Linked DNA regions of Alligator mississippiensis. The protein of the gene in region 1 purifies or fractionates together with the protein of each later gene. This does not show direct contact. Links are inferred from orthologs where the notes say so. Each region holds a gene or a part of one and is shown on either strand. Other genes may lie near its edges.

Region 1 (8,133 bases):
TTTGTCCGCCCCAGCTAATAGGTAATAATGAAAGTAGAGGACCACCTGGTACAAAGGCAGTCTGTTATAACTTTCTGGTTAAAATGACAATATAACTCCCAATTCTATTGATGGAAAAGGGTCCGGGGTTGGGGTTCAAGTTTTAATATAGCCCAATTCTTCTCACTTACACTACTATAAATCTGTAGTGATCTACTGAAGTCAGTAGTTACACTATGTAAACTAGTTAGAAATTGACTTAGCCTTTTATGTTCCATTTAAAAATTTTAAAAAAATAGTCACTGCATAGGTCACTCAAAAAGGACTGAAAAGGATATGGATAATTTTTAATTTGTGTTTTATCATTACTAGGGCAATCCATGGAATCAATGTTTTTATTAACTGCTTTTAAGAACTTATCAAAATGATAAAGCATCACTGAAATATTAACATGTTGTCCTTTTAGGATTAATTGTATTATAGCAGGGCAAACAGCAAGCATCTCAGTTCTACAGTCTTCAGTTAATCCTAGATATCAAGAAACCACTAGAAGACACTCTGAAAAGTGTTCTCTTCCTGCCTGTACAACTGATCTGGTTCCTTTCATTCACTATGATAAGGCTCATAATTAAAATGTGGCTCCAGAAAGTCTGTGCGTAGAGTTGAGTGTGAAAGTAAAGATTAATCATTATTTTTTTGGATGATACTTTTACTCACGCACACACTTCAGAAAACAAAAAAATATTTTCTTGAGGTCAAATTCTGAGACCTTTTCAAAGCAAAGTAGTACCTTACTGTGGAATACTCCTAAACTAAATGGAAGCAAAGATTTAGAAATGGACCCAAATCAAGGCCTGTATCAGAACATTATATAAGCAAAAGATGTATTAATATCAGTTGAAGTTGTCGTTTTGCCCATAAGAGAACAGCATTCAAGATCAACAGCTTCCCCTTTTCTTGTTTGAAAGCACTATCCTGTGTCAGGATGAACAACCCATAGCATACAAATTACAGTTTGTGAAATATAGATAATTATTTTCCAAATTGGAAAACCTGGTCATTTCATAACTGCTCCTCAGAGGCAGGTGCAATTACCCGTTTGTATCTTTCTCAGTGAAGATACAGTTTTTCCTTTTCCTAAACTACTATTTGTAACAGCATCCTTGAAACATTGCAGGAAAGGTGTCATTTTTCATTATCCCAGGTGCCAAGATAAAATAGGGCTGAGAACGTATTAGGTTTCAATCACAGATGAAGAACACTGATCCACTACCTTGGTTCAAGACTGTCCTGTTTCTGCATGATCAAAAACAGCTGAAATACAGACTTTTTCCTTTTAGTTTCCCAAGGGATAACATGTTTAGGACATAAGTCATTAAATAAGGCACTCTAACTGTAAAACAATTGAAAACTGCGCAAAACTTAAAATATTTATTACATGCCTCGCAGCAGTGCCAGTGTGGGGTCACATTGTACAGTAGGAGGGCATTCTGAATGAAGGTAAGTTAAAACTATTTCTATTTTTTTTAATTTAATATTAACAGTATTATTGAACTATATTTTTCTATGATATCTTTACACTGGTGTAAAAAAACAATTGTTTTGACGTTAAACAATACTTATCAATATGTCTTTGAAAAAGAAAACTTTCAAAAATAAAGATAGCAATGAATTTTTTTGGGGGGTAGAACTGCCGCATTCAATAAAATTTTAGATTACAAAAAAAAAAAGCAGCGAAAACAAAACACACACAACCCCTCCCCTCCCGCTGGCTCTGAACCATGTCATTTCATTTATACCAGTGGGGTTAGAAGTCACTTAACACTGAAAAAAGGACTATAATTTCCTCTGACTTCTGTCTAGCACCATATTCCTTTTCTGTTGGGTTCTTGGATCTACATTTTCAAAACGGTAGGAAAAAGCTAGCTTTACTCCATTATTTAAAATGCCGTGTTCATCTGTTGTATTTATTACTTCAAACTACATTATGAAAGACTACAAATACAAAAAAAAAAAAAAAAAAGTTACTAAAGAAATTCGCTTTCTACAGGCTAGTTTATCAGATTACATTCCAGGCCTCTTCCAAATATAATTTAAAAAAAACCTAAGATGCTTTAAATGGGTTCTGTTTATGTGTCAACCCAGGCAACAATCCTTTTTCAGTAAAGAGGCCCTAAGTCTTACCATGGCCCTGATAAAACAGCCAAGCAGCAGTGACCGCCAGAATAGTTTGCACATGTCATGATGATCCAAATGTTTCACTACCCGGCAGCAGCCTGCTCGCTTCCAGGCCTCGTCCTGCTAGTGCCGCACCATTTTGAGACAACAGCTGGAAGTTCCAACTAGTTTCCAAAGCGTCAGGAACCTTCCCTGGCAGCTGAAGCAATCAGGCCTTCAGGCTGCCGGCCAAATGTGCGGCTCCAAAGCGTCCACCCAAACTTCTTTCAGCACAGGCCTAAGCAGCTCTGGGAGCTTCCTTTCCTCCGATGTCCTACCCCGTCCCAGAGACGGTACTAATGTCATTACCGACATTAATGCCAGGACAGTCCTATTTTACCATCATTACTTAAGAGGATGTTCAGAAGTAAAAGGCAAGGGGCAAAGGTCGGGGCCGCACCGGATGATCTTATGAGGTCCCTTCTAGCCCTAATGTCTGCAAAAGTCTAAAGTTTACGGGATCAGCACCCAAAACGAAGCCGGGTGAACACAGGGAGAGAGACGCGCCCGCTGTTTTGTCACCGGTCTCTGAACACCTCCTTCCAGCTCCTTCTCTCCTGGCAGCTGCATAAACCCCGCAACCCCCCACTGGCACGGCAGAGCCTTCTCCCATCAGAGGGACTTGCCTTGCAGCAACAACAAATAAAAGACCCGTTGGCAAGGAAGGACACCTAGAAACCCCCCCAGGCGCGTTTCTTTCCCCCTCTGGAGGCTCCTCGTCTCATGGACATATTAGGAGCGGCGAGCGCAGGGGCGAGCGCCCAGCCGCGCAGCCAGCCAGGCGGAGGGGAAGGACAAGGGGAAACAAACCCACCCACCCCGTGCCAAGTCTCCGCTTCTCTCGCTGCACGGGCGGCTAAACCCGCTCGGGACTCGGGACTCGGCACGGGCAAGCGGGCGCCGGCGGGCACCGCAGTGCGGAGGGCAGAGCCGGGTACCTGGGGCCCGTGCAGGCGCGGGTCGGTCCAGGTGGTGGTGCGGCTGTTGTGGTCCACGAAGAAGGGCCAGCCCGTCTGCGGGTCCACCTTGATCTCCCAGCCCGGCGGCAGCGGCTCGGCGCTGCCCTCCATGCGCGGCGCGGGAGGCTGCGGGGCGGCAGCGGCGGCGGAGCTCATGCGGGCGGTGCGAGCCGTGCACCGCGGCCGGGAGCCTTTATGTGGCCGGGCGGGGAGGGAGGGGGTGGAAGGGTCTGGAAATAGCAGCTCGGCGCAAAGGGGCCGGCGGAGGAGGGGAAGGGGAGGAGAAGGAGGAGGAGAGACGGCCCGGCTGGAAACTTCTGGCGGCGTCCAGCCCGGCCACCCCCCGCCCCGCAGCGGTGCCGCGCGGCCGCGCTCAAACTTCAATGCATTCCCCCACCCCAATTGTTTTTGGAGGCTGCGCTTTAGGGACAAGCCGGCGGCTGATGGCTCCCCCCGCCAGGTCTCTGCCAGGCAGGGTTGTGTAACTTGTCTTGCTGGGTAGATCGGCATGCATCTGAAAGCCGTGCAGTAGGATGGTTGGCGATGTGCAGCGGGTGCAGGCGAGTGCATGTGCACCCCCTGAGCGAAAAGGTGCCCGGTGCCCCTGTGCCAACGCTGCCAGCGATTGTTACTGGCCTGCGGGTGGTCGCTGTGCCACCCCCCACGCTTGCCACCGCCACCAAAACTTCCCAGGGAGGTGGTCCTCGCCCCTACCTTGGGCAAATTCAAGAGGAGGTTGGATGATCGCCTGTCTGGGGTGTTGTGAGCCCAGCGTTCATTCCTGCCCGTGGAGGGGTCAGGCTAGATGATCTGTTCAGGCCCCTCCTGACCCTAGTTATGAAACCATGAAAAGCACCGCCGCCACCTGCGGGAGCTTGCCGGGCCCCCCAGCCTCCGGGGGCACGTGGCGTTCATGAGTACAATTAACGACGTTGGCCAAAAAAATCTCCCAGAATAGCTTCAGTCAGTTGGGTAGGGGGGTTTGTGAGCGCAGGCCTGGGAGGCCTGTGATGCGCTAGGTGCCTGGTCTGAGCTTGGTGTGCCTGCAAAATCCAGCTCTGCGAAACTGGAGTCTTGACATGCCGCCGGCCTAAAGGAGAGAAGAGACCTGGAGAGGACAGGCCGGCTGCTAAGTGGCTTCCTACTTGTCAGCCTTCCTGGGCCCTGGCACCTGTTGCTTGAGACAGAAAAGATCAGGCATCATTCGACACTGAGCCCTGTCCCCAGTACTAGTCACAAAAAAGGCAAAGACTCATCATGCTGGTACACTTAGATCAGGGTCTTCAAAGTTGTGTTATAGTGTTATGATGCATATGAGTCTGGAGAAGCACATTTTTTAACTCAGTCCCGCATCCTACATGGGTGACTGGCATCCCCACATTGGTATCATTGCAGTTGGCATCAGAATCTTTTCCATCCAAGATTTCTTTGCAGATTGTCCTGCCCATGCTCTTATTGATCCTGACTTGATCTGCTAAAATTGCATTTACATCTGACAACCTTATCATATCAGGGTGTTTGTTGAATAATTGGCTAGATCTGTCTTCTCTGCTGTATCTAATACCATCAGTACCAAAACCTAAAGGACTGAAGATGAAAATAACATAAGTGGCAGAACCTGCCTCTAAGGCTTTAATTCCTGTTTTCACTCCATAAGGCTATGTTATATCATTAGAGGAATATTATTCTTTTTTTTCCTCTACTCCTTCTAATAGTAAGTACAAAGCACACTTACCTATAAATACAAAGCACAAGGGATCCTGGTACATAACTGGGGCTCCCAACTGATGTGGAAATACAAATACATAATAACCATGGTAACTGGAAGTCGTTAGCCCTAATTGGATCCACCGATTTACAGGAGGGTTTCTGTAAGCCTTCCTCCCAAGTTACAGTCTCATGTTCCAGGGGCTTGTTATGGTCCATGGCTCTGTGGATACAGACGCACCTGTTTGAAGACTATGATCTAGTTGATTTAGGATTGACAAGCCAGTCAAATATTGTCAACTGACTGCATATTTTTTGACCAGTCAAACATTAAAGCAATTTTACAAAAAACACTTTTTTTGGTTTTCTTGACAGAAATACAATTTTTTGAGACATTTCTTAATGAATTTTTTCCTGTGTATTATTTGGACCTATTGGCAATTGTTTTACAATTTTTGACCAATATGTGACCAGTAAATTGAGTGCACTTTATTTGACCAGCCAAATATCCAGCCCTAGTTTGACTGGGTTTGTGGCTCCAGGTTTGTGGCTAGGGTTTCTATTAGGAAGAAGGGTGGATGATGTTCAGCTTGAGATCTCATATCTCAATAAGTATATCCAATGCTTAACATTTTAGGCAGTCACTCTATGATCCCTTCCTTAGATCCCACAGATTGGTTCACAACTTTTAGCTTGTAAAATGTGTAATTTTTCCATGTCAGTTCATCCTGTCCACCTGTGCTCCATTTAAGTGTGTAACCTCAGGATGGAAAAAAAAACCCCACACAGTAACTGAGAGCATATATTTATCCAAGCTCAACCAATACTCACTAGGTACAATAACAGCAGGGGCTAATCTTTTCACACCTCTTTATGACTTGGTACCTTGTTTCTCAGAGCGCCTTATTCCTCTAATGCAACAAACACAGGTTTTTTGGTCATACCTTTTATTAACTTGGTTCAATAAAAGATATAATCATAAATAATTTTGCTTTGCCCATATTTCTCCTATCACAGCTACAACAGTCCAGCCCTACTTATGCTTTTAGTAGCAGTCTTGAAATTGCTGGAGCCTTGTCAGTTCAGGACTGGCTGCCTTAGAAGCCTTCACATTTGATGGGTCCTCGTTATATATGCAGTGAAAGGCAGTATGGTTACCTTATTGCACATGTCAAACTCATCTGGCCCTGTGGGCTGGATGAGGTGTGCAGGGCTACTCCACAAGCCAGGTCAGGCTTACAGAGCAGCCCCATGCATCAGATCCGGCACTCGGGGCCAATCCAGAGTGACCAAGTCACTTGTACCATAAGTGACACATTCTCTGACTGACTGTGGACCTCATGCAGTGCACAGGGCTGGGGCTAGCACCTGCAGGGGCAGGGCAGCCCACCTCAAGCCGGTCTAACACCCACAGGCAGTACCGCAGGCTGGAAGGTAGAACGCTGCGGGCCACGTCTTTGACACTGCTGCCTTACCGACTAGACCGGTGGTCTCCAAGCTTTTTGCGGTGAAGATCACTTTTTGGAACTAAAGGGCACCCCAGGATCTACCACACGCCCACCCTGCCCCATGCATCGCTGGACCACAGAGTGTCCCAGACCCTGCTGGGTCAGGGTCCGATCCCACTTCTGTGCTGCGTCTGCACTGAGCTGCACCCGTCTGGCAGCCAGAGGAATGTGGCATCGAGACCTGGCCCGGCTGGGTCTGGAAGTCTCCGTGGTCCAGGAGCATGTGGGGAGGGGCTCCTGCTGCTGGGCACAGCCTGTCAGAGGCCCCAAGGGCCCATGCCTCCCCCACCTGTGCTTGGGATGAGGCGGCTGCTGCTGTGGGCTGCCCGCTGCACCCCGAGCACAGGTGGGGGAGAGGCATGGGCCCCCAGGGCCTCCGCTAAGCTGTGCCCAGCGATGGGAGCCCCCCCCACACACCCCCTCCGAATGACCAGATCTTCCCAGACCCAGCTGGACTAGGGCCACCCCCATGTGAGTCCCCGCTGCTGAGCTGAGCTGAGCTGCACTCACATGTGGCCACCTTGCAGCAGGGCTCAAGGCACAGTGATGGCAGCCTCTGCCACCTCCGCCCCTGAAGAAATGGGTGGGAGTCCCTCCCCCCCCCCGTGCCCTTAGAGGACCCCCCACAGGCTCCAATCCTCCCACCACCCAGCCGGGCTGGGGCCCCACTTATCTTCCCCTGCTCCTGGCTGGGCCGCACGGTCAGCTGCTTACCATGGGGGCTCAATCTGGCTCCTGCCCCTTCCCTACCCCACATATTGCCCTGCTGAAGCTGGGGGCAGTGGGTGTGCACGTGCGCACATGCCCAGCTGCCCCCCAGCCAAGGATTTATCAAAAGAGGTTTTGAGATGTACCTGTAAATCAGGATCCCCAGGTTGGTGACCACTGAACTAGACAGTGTGTCTGTTCTTGTGCACTTAAGAGTAATCAGCTTATGCACTTAACAGATATGCAGATAACTAATGCTTGTTATAATGTAAGCAGAAGGCAAAATGTTGGGACTGATGTCCTGTTTTGTAGTTGAGCATATAGTTCATGATCAAGGGACATTATTATCAGTTTACAATCCTTGCACCACTGGCCTGTTGTATTTACAGGATTTAGTTGTTTGTTTCTTGTTACCTAATTCCCTTTGAATTTTCCTAAATTCTAGCATAATGTATGACTGTAGTAGCCACTTACCTAAGGAGGCAAGGATTCCTTGTGTTTTCCTGTCTAGACCAATAGCTGATTTTAGTCAGTCAGTTCAACAGGACTTCTGCATTTCTATAGTTGTTCTCCAAACTAGATCTCTAATGAGACCTTACCCGGTCTGTAGAATTCATAGAGGTGTTCCGACGTCCTGCAGCACTCCTTCCTCTGAAGAACTGCTTGACCATGAATCACACCATGTCTCACATTGGTGTCACCCAGGAACTATGGTGAAAATTTGCTTTGGCCTGCTGGGCCATATGATAGCCTGTATTCATGTAATTCTATGTGTGCAGCTACATATAGTCACTTCAGGGTTGGCTGATGACAATTTATCAGCCAAACAGAAACAACCTCTGCAAGTTCCTCACCAAGTGGTATCATCTTGCCTTTGCTGGATGGATCCTCTAAATGTTTGCCAAGGTGTTCTGTTTCATCCAATGTCCACCCAAAGACTCTGATGCCCGAGTGTCTGAGGCAGACTGACATGCTTGCTTGGAGACACAAAGTTTCATGCAGTCTCAATTGAATAGAATTGTACTTGATTTCAGGGCTGTTTGCAAGGTGTCCCA
Region 2 (7,913 bases), on another chromosome or scaffold:
AACAGCCGCAGGTGCGGGCTCCTGCAGCCTCAGCACCACGGTGCCCAGCGTGCAACGCTCTACCCTGTGCCCTGGACACAGGCAGCTTTGCGCTGCGAAGCCACCAGCTGGACCCAGCGAGGGCCAGACACAGGCTCCTGCTTGAGCCACATCTGGGTGGGATGCCCCAGGCCTGGGCAGTGCCCTGGGCATACAGCCGCGCTGGGTGGTGGGGGCCCAGCTGATGGGGCTGTGGCAAAGGGACCTCCGCAGCCTCCCATTGACCAGCCGGCTACTACCAGCAGCAGATGCACACACGCCTGCAACTTCCCATAGGCATGCTCCTGCCACCCCTGCACCAGGCCACAGCACCCTGGTCCCTACCGTACCCTGCTCATGCCCAGCCCAGCACCCCCCACCCGTGCCCTGCAGGGGAATGCCCGGGCTGGCACCTGCTGAGGCTGAGGCTGAGGCGGTCGCCACAGGCGCGGATCCTGTTCTGCGCCTCGATGTGGGTCAGAGCGCTAGCGTTCTCGCCATCGATGCTCAGCACCCAGTCGCCCACGCCCACGCCGGCCTGCGCCGCCTTCCCACTGGGTGTCAGCTGCCGTGGGCACAGAGGGAGAGAGTCAGGCGGGCAGTGAGCAATGCTGCCCCGTGCCCCGGGGAAGCCAAGTGCCCACACTGCTGCCCTGGCTGATGCTGGGGACACTGGGCTGGGCCCGTTGGGGCAGGTACCTACTCCCAGTCCTCCCCTCCCCCCCAACACATCCTGGGGGCTTTTTCCTGGCCTGTGGCCCGGGCCAGGCCCCACCTTGGCACAGAGACCAGGCGCCCCCCGCGGCTCTGCCGGCCGAGACAGGAGCAGCTCCGTCCCCGGGAGCCGGGCGTGAGTCAGAACTTCGCCGTCCCGGCGCAGCCCATGCATCAGGCCCGGGCCTGTTGGAGCCTGAACCACAGGCATTTCCGAGGCTTTTGTGTCTGGGCTGGGGGGAGACAGGCGCTCCCACCCTGGCCAGCCCTGGTCGCTCCCCCATCTCCTGTCCGCGGACAGACGTTACCTCATCCCAGCCGTGAGCAGCGATACCCGCTGGGGCTGCCCCCCCGCCCCCCCGCGGGAAAGTCCAGCCCAGCCGGCACCACCACAGCAGCCTCGGCCCCGGGGCGGAGGGGCAGGGGCCAAGGCCAGGATGGGGCAGCTTCGAGGCAGACGTGTGGTGCTGCCACCCCGGCCCCGGGGACCTGAGAGAAGCATCTTCTGCGGGGGCCGCAGGCTGGGGTGGGAGCCCAGCAGGGCTCAGCCGGGTGCACGGTGGGGGGGAAGGGTGTGTGGGTCCAGGCCACCCCCTACCCCCTGCATTGCCTGCAGTGCGGCCGGGCCTGCTCTCACTCCAGCTGCCTGGGCCGGGCTGGGGGAGCTCCAGGCTCCTGGACTGGAGCCAAATGCTTCTCTGGCTCAACATGGACATAAAAGGAGCGAGCCAGATCCCGGCGGCGGCCCCCAGGCCCCTCCCCCCGGGCCAAGGCCCCCGCGATGCCGGCACCGCCCCCTGCGCGCCCCAGCCCCGGAGCCTGCGGGGATGCTGGTGCTCACAGACCCTCGCTCCCAGCCGGGCTGGGCCCGGGGGCCATGGCAGAGCCCAGCCCGGGAAAGCTCTCGGCTCCAAGCGCCGGAGAAGCCTGCGCCGGGCCTCCGGGTGGCCAGGACCCCCCGACCAGGCAGAGGAGCTGCCCCTCGCGCACTCAGCCCAGCCCTGCAGCCGCATCCTGCTCCCGGCCAGGCCCCTGCCCAGCTCTTCCTGGCTGGCTGGAGACAGGCCTAGGCAGCGCCCAGGGGGAAGCAGGGCCGTGTCCCCGCAGGACCCCAGCCCTGCTGACGACTAGGGCGTATTTTTATCCTCTCCTGCCTGAGCTCAGCACTTCTCCCTGGCCCCCAGCGCCACCTCTGACAGCTGGGATGGGGCTGCAGGCCTGCCCCACCTGCCCCCGTCGCTCACACCGCGGCCAGCCCTGCACGCACCAGAGCACCTGCCCTGCCCCTGCCCCATGGCAAGGAGCACGAGTGCCTGGAGCACACGTCCCCGCTGGCTGTCGGGGGGTCCTGGGGCACTGCCTGGGCCCCGCTGGCTGGGAGGCGCTGTACTAACGAGCTGAGGAAGGAAGCCTCGGCTACGCCTGTGACCGTGCCCACCCGGCACAGCCGCCTTCCTGGGCAGGGCCAGCTCCGGGCAGGGCAGCGCTGTGGCTGCTGGAGGGAGCTTGGAGCCAGGGGCCTGGCTGGGAGCGACGCGCCCCAGAGGAAGCTCAGACCGGCACAGGGCGCGGTGCTGCGGAGGGGACCCGGGGGCTGTGTCTCTGTGGGCACGAGACGTGCCAGCCCACCCCACCTCCTGGGCAGCCTCTTGCCCCCCCACGCCTGCGCCCCGACCCCAGCACGCAGCCAACAGCCTCCCCCCGTGGGCAGCTGGGAGCCAGGCTGCGCGAGGCCCGGGGAAGGGCCGGGGCCCTCGGCTAGCTGCCTCCCGCAACGAGCCCCAGCCTGCGCGGGGCCGGGGCCGGGGCCGGGGCCGGGGCCGCCCTCCTGCCAGCTGGCCGCGGCGGCCGGCGCATTCCGAGGCTTATAAGGCAATGGCTCGGCGGGCCCGGCCGGCCGCGCTTACCCGCGAGATGGAGAGCGGCATGTTGAAGTCCTTGCCCCCCTGCAGGCGGAAGCCCCAGGGCGCCGGCCCCTCCAGCACCACCTTGTAGGCGTCCATGTCGCTCATGCCTGGGGAGGGAGACGGTGAGCGGCGGGGCGCGGCGAGCCGAGGCGGGGCCGGGAGGCGCGGGCGGGCGATGAGAGGCGTGTAAGACGACACCGCGCCCGGCACTGCCGGCACTGGGCGACCGCGGCGTGCCCCGGCCCCGCTCCTCCGAGCGGGGCGCGGCGGGACCGGGGGCTCCGGCCGGGCAGGCTCCCGCCCCGCCCCGCCCCGGAGCCGCAGCCCCCGCGCACCCCCGCCCGCCCGCGGACGCTGACCTGCGGGGCCCGGCCGGGCGGAGCCGGCACTGCGCGACGAGCCGAGCCCGACACCGCTGCGCTCTGCGGGCCGCGCTCCCTGCGCCGGGCCCTATGTACCCTCGGGGGCGGGGCCGGCCCTAGGCCCCGCCCCGCCCCTACTGCGCTTGCGCGGCTGCGGGCCCCGGGCCCCCGCGTGCGCCCCCGGACCCTCCTTCCCCGCCGGGCCGCCGCCCGGCTCCAGCGTTACCGGCCCGCCCCGCCCCGCCGCGCTCAAGGAGACGCTGCCCGTCGCTCCGGCGCCGCCTTTATTTCCTGGTCGCGGCGCCCGAAGCCGGAACCGGCGCCGCACGGAGCCGCCCCGAGCCCGCGGGGTGTCGCTGTCCGGGAGAGGCGCGCCCGGCCCGGCCCGTCCTGCCGGGAAGCGCCGCCGCCCCCCGCTCGGTCCCCGCCGCCGGAGCCCTCGGGACGGCCGCTGCCCCCGCCCTTCTCCCCGCCGGGCGGCTCAGGCGCGGTCCGCGGGGCTGGGGGTCCGGCCGGGCACCGGCGGCGCCGCCTCCCTGCTCAGCAGCGTGACCAGCCTCCGGCGGAGGCCGTTGCTGGCCGTGGCCTCGCCGTGGGCCGCGCTGTCGGGCCCCTCCGGGTCCTGCAGCCGCTGGTAGCGGGGCTGGAGCACGGGGCTGGGGGCGCCGCTCCGGGCCGCGGCCACCATGCAGCTGTTGTCGTAGATGGGCGCCTCGGGGCCGCTGCTGCCCTCGGGTGGCTCCCGGCAGCTCCGGTGCCAGCTCGCGGCCGCCTGGTCCAGGCCCCGCCCCGGGCAGTCTGTCTCCGGGCCGCACAGGTTCTCGTACAGGTGCTCGGAGGGCTGCTGGCCCCAGGCCTCCGGCTCCGGCTCCCGCCGGACGGCAGCAGGCAGGGGCTGCGGGCCCCGGGCAATGGAGGCGTAGATGACGGGGAAGGTGTGGTCCACCCTGTCTGGAGCCCCTGGCTCCCGTGAGCAGGGCTGGGGCGGAGGGTGCTCGGGCCGGAGCCAGGCGGGTGGCGCGGCCCCTCCGTCCTCGAGGGCCCAGGACGCTGATGGTGCCCCCTCGGGGCTGCTGGCGGGGTGCTGCCAGGGCTCCTGGTTCCTCTGGCGGGCGATGGCAGCGGATATGAGACCACAGATCTCGGCAGCGCGGCCCGTGCTGAAGGTGAAGACGCCCTCACCAGAGTCGCAGCGGCGGCCGGCCTCGAAGGACAGCATGGCCTGTGGGCGGATGGGGGTAAGGGGCAGGGAAGGCCAGGGCCCCAGGACCTCCCCCCCCCCGACACTGCAGGGAAGAAGTGGGGCACGGGGTGCCAGGCTTGTGGGGCCACACAGGTACCTGGTCCTGGCCGAACTTGCGCAGGAAGGGATAGGGCCAGGCAAGCAGCGGCTGCCGCGTCTGCAGCTCCTTCAACACCAGGCGCTCGGGCAGCACGGCCAGCAGGTAGCGCCCGCTCAGGCCGCAGCGGGTGGAGGCCTCGGTCCGGAGCAGCAGTACTGGGAACTCGTTCGCTGGCGGAGGAACGGAGCCCACGTTGACGCTGCAGCCCTGGCTCCTGTGAGGGCATGACAGCCCACCCCCCACCGGCTGTAAGGCGTGTCCACCCATGCGCCAGGGCAGGCACCAGCCCCCCGCACCTACGTGCGTGCCAGGACGAGTAGATCGTGTTCTCCTCCATGTGGAGGCCAGAGCTGGGCGAGGCCCTGTTGCTGCCTGGAGCCATCTCCTTTGTGCCCTGAAAAGCAGAGAGGTGAGCCGCGTCCACCGCCTGGGGAGCAGAGCTGCAGGGAGCTGGAGGGGGGAACACATGGAGCTTGGGCAAGTCCACAGACTTGACCACGGGACCTCCAGGGGCTGGGGAGGGGGCAGATTGGCTGTAGCACCACCTGAGCCTCCCACGACTCCGTGGTGCTGGATGCAGCCGCCCGCCTGTGCCACCCCCTGGCCAGGGTCCACCATACCTGGAAGGCCAGTTGGCAGAGCTGCGCCACCCACTCGTCAGGCTGCTCGGCCGCCAGCACGTGGCTCTTGTCCAGGGTGCGGAGGCAGAAGGCGGCCGTGCCACGGGGGCAGCCCTCACTGCCGGCAGGCCCCACGGACACACAGTCGGCCAGCCGGAGCACCCGGCGTTCGCCCCGGCGTAGCGATGTCTTCTCGGGCCCCGAACCGTCCCGCACCGCAAACTGCTCCATGCGGGCCACGCCTGACGGGCCAGCCGCGAACAGCTGTGCCCGCACCTTCTTCCAGGACCTCTGGGGGTGGGTAGATGAGCAGGGCTCAGCACCCTTGGGCCAGGGATGGAGCTGGTAGGATGCTGCTTGGAGCCACCGGCAGGCAGGGAAAGGAGACCCTCGTGCAGGCACCCTGCCTCTGCAGCACCTGCTCAAGCTGGAGCCTGCGCCTGCCCTGCGGGCTGCGGGCTCAGCCCGCCGGCATCTCACGCCCTTCCTCTGGGCCCAGCAGCTCCGAGAACACAGCCCAGGCATCCGGGCTGGGAGGCTGCGGCCAGCCTCGTGCTGCCCCTGGGGGCCCGGCAGGTGGGGTGGACCAGCTGTTCCAGCCTAGGCCCTATGCAAATCAGGCCATTTAGGGCTGTTTGCGCCCACGACCAACAGCAGCCCTGCACCTGACACATGGGCCAGGTCCTGCCAGCACCACCCACCCCTTCCTCCCGGGGGAAGCTCTGCAGCAGCCAGCGGGTCACGAGGTGAGGGCACGGGGCAGCTGCAGCCTCCTCTTGCAATCCCCACGTGCTGGCTGAGGAGAAGGGGCAGACAGGCCCAGAAGCACCGCCAGCCATGGCTGCACTGCCCACCCCATGTGGGGGCTGCACCTGCCTGCTCCGCTCCACCTGTGCTGGGATATGGGGGCTGCCCCAATGGGCACCGTGCTCCCAGCCTGGCACTGGTCCAGCTGGGCTGCGACCCAGCCTAGGCCGGACCCGTTTCCAACCTGAGGCACAGGGTTGCAGCTTGCAGGAAGCATCTCCCGTGCCCTGCAAGGGCACCCGGGCTGGGCAGGTTGCTGGGGGACCTGGCACCTCCAGGACAGGAGGCAATTGAGGCTCTGCCTTGAAAGCCCGCCTGCAGTTGCTGCCTATGGTCAGACCCTGACCACGGCTGTAGGGACCGTGGTGCTTGTGGGGTAGTTGGCTGCAAACCCAAGCCACATGAGGGCACTGGGCCCCAGTCACCATCCCCATTCCACTTGGGCTGCTGGCAAGCACTGGTCCCTACCCACCCTGGGACAACGGCAGAGCAGCAGGGCTCAGCCCCAGGGAAGACGAGGGGCTTCCACACCTGCCCCCCTCACTCACATGCACCACGTTGTACTCTGTAACAGCTTTTATTGCCCTTTGCGCCTGCCGCAGGCAGCACCCACAGCAGAGTCAGGAGCACCAGGACTGCTGGTTGTGGCTGCCTCCCCGGCACCCAGGCGTGGGGCCGAGACCACACGCCCCTCCCCCTGGCCAGCAAGGCCTGGAGCCCAGCCCTGCCCGTTACCTTTCCAAATTTGAAGTGCTGGACATAAAGGATCCCATCCTTCACGGGCCCCTCCATGGCTTGAGCTGCCTGGGTTGTGGAGCCGTTGGCCACGGGAGCTGGGGCTGCTGCCGCAGGAGTGCAGGGGTAGACTTCCCCTCTGCATCCACTTCCCCTTTCTGGCGTGTGAGCCGTGGAGCTGGCCCTGCCTCCGCCAGAGCAGAGCAGTGGGGCAGAACGGGCAGGCGGGGCTGCGAGTCTGCCCTAGGCAGGCTCTCACAGCCCCTGCTTGAGGCAAGGGGGGTGGTGCTGAGGACTAGGACTGCCCCTTCCTGCCCAGCCCAGCAGCCCCAGGAAGATGCTGAGCATCCCCTAGACTGGGGAACAGTCCTGGCAGGGCCAAGGGCATCCTGGCAGAATCTCTGTGCCAGGCCGAGCCGAGGCGGCCTGGGCTAGCAGACTGTCCCTACTGCCCTCCAGCTCCCCCCACCCAAATCCCCCTGGGCCGGTGCTGTGCATCTGGCCCAGAGGCTCCCACTTGCTCAATCCCAGCATGTCAACAGTAGGGCTGATGTAAGAGGCTGTTGCTGCATGGCACAGCACTTCCTCCCAGCACCAGAACTGCAGCCCGGCTCTGGAGCAGCAGGGAATGGGCAGCATGCCCCAGGGGCCTGGAGCAGGCCGTGGCGTGGCTGCCCGAGACACAGGGACCAGCCGCCTGGCGCTAACATGGCCTTCCTGGTGCGACTGGCACTTGCCCAGGGAGCAGCCACCTTCCCCTTCCCCCACCCCTTCACAGCATCTGGGCAGGGGCTGGTGCCCGGCGGGCAGCCCTAGAAGTCCATGGAGCTGTGGGCCAGGTAGTCTTTGCGGCCGATGTTGCTGACTTGCTTGGTCTGCATGGCTTCCAGCTTGGGGCAGTCTGTGATGCGATGGCCCAGCCCCCCGCAGAAGGCACAGCCCCTCTCCCCTATGACAGGAAGAAGGATGAGTGAGCTCGGGCAGGGGCAGGGCACTGCCTGGGATGGGGGAGCTCCCGCAGCTCTTGGGAGAGTAACAGCCCCAGAAGTGCAGCCACTGCCAGAGTGCACGGCTCAAGCAACCTGCAGCTGCTCTCGCCCTCCCCTGCCTCAGTGCCCCCTTCCCTGGACAGGACGCAGCCCTTCCTAGGGCCAGAACGGCAGCAGAAGTGCCACCTTCCCGCAGCCTCTCACCTCCGATGTCCAGCATGGTCTCATCCCCGCAGTGCAGCACCTGGAGCACAGGTGGTACCTTCTGCTTGGCCTCCAGCAGCAGCGCCTTCAGGTCCATGAGCACCGACTCGTCTGGGGGCAGAAGGGCAGCTCAGCACAGGCTCCAGGCACAGATGCCAGAAGGAGCCTGCAGTGCAGGGCACACTGAACGCAAGGCTGTGGGGCAGAGCAGGGC

What was found. The genes of interacting proteins can lie anywhere in the genome.
Region 2: the proteins of BAG3 (region 1) and PDLIM7 purify together in Homo sapiens (affinity purification with mass spectrometry; 3 studies listed by BioGRID and IntAct, counting the BioPlex papers as one, with this or other methods). This does not show direct contact. The link is inferred for Alligator mississippiensis from reciprocal best matches to the Homo sapiens genes BAG3 and PDLIM7.

Annotation. Positions count from the first base shown.
Region 1 is NC_081829.1:87,292,145-87,300,277, forward strand, and holds the start of BAG3 (BAG family molecular chaperone regulator 3), read right to left. Parts: upstream 3,383-8,133; 5' UTR 3,312-3,382; coding exon 3,135-3,311; intron 1-3,134. UniProt on the Homo sapiens protein: Co-chaperone and adapter protein that connects different classes of molecular chaperones including heat shock proteins 70 (HSP70s), e.g. HSPA1A/HSP70 or HSPA8/HSC70, and small heat shock proteins (sHSPs), e.g. HSPB8.
Region 2 is NC_081832.1:79,407,173-79,415,085, reverse strand, and holds the start of PDLIM7 (PDZ and LIM domain protein 7), read right to left. Parts: upstream 3,102-7,913; 5' UTR 2,999-3,101; intron 2,747-2,998; 5' UTR 2,745-2,746; coding exon 2,640-2,744; intron 584-2,639; coding exon 432-583; intron 1-431. Other genes in the region: DOK3 (docking protein 3), read right to left, coding at 3,483-4,223, 4,342-4,514, 4,645-4,738, 4,965-5,489; probable ATP-dependent RNA helicase DDX41, read right to left, coding at 7,319-7,455, 7,700-7,810. UniProt on the Homo sapiens protein: May function as a scaffold on which the coordinated assembly of proteins can occur. May play a role as an adapter that, via its PDZ domain, localizes LIM-binding proteins to actin filaments of both skeletal muscle and nonmuscle tissues.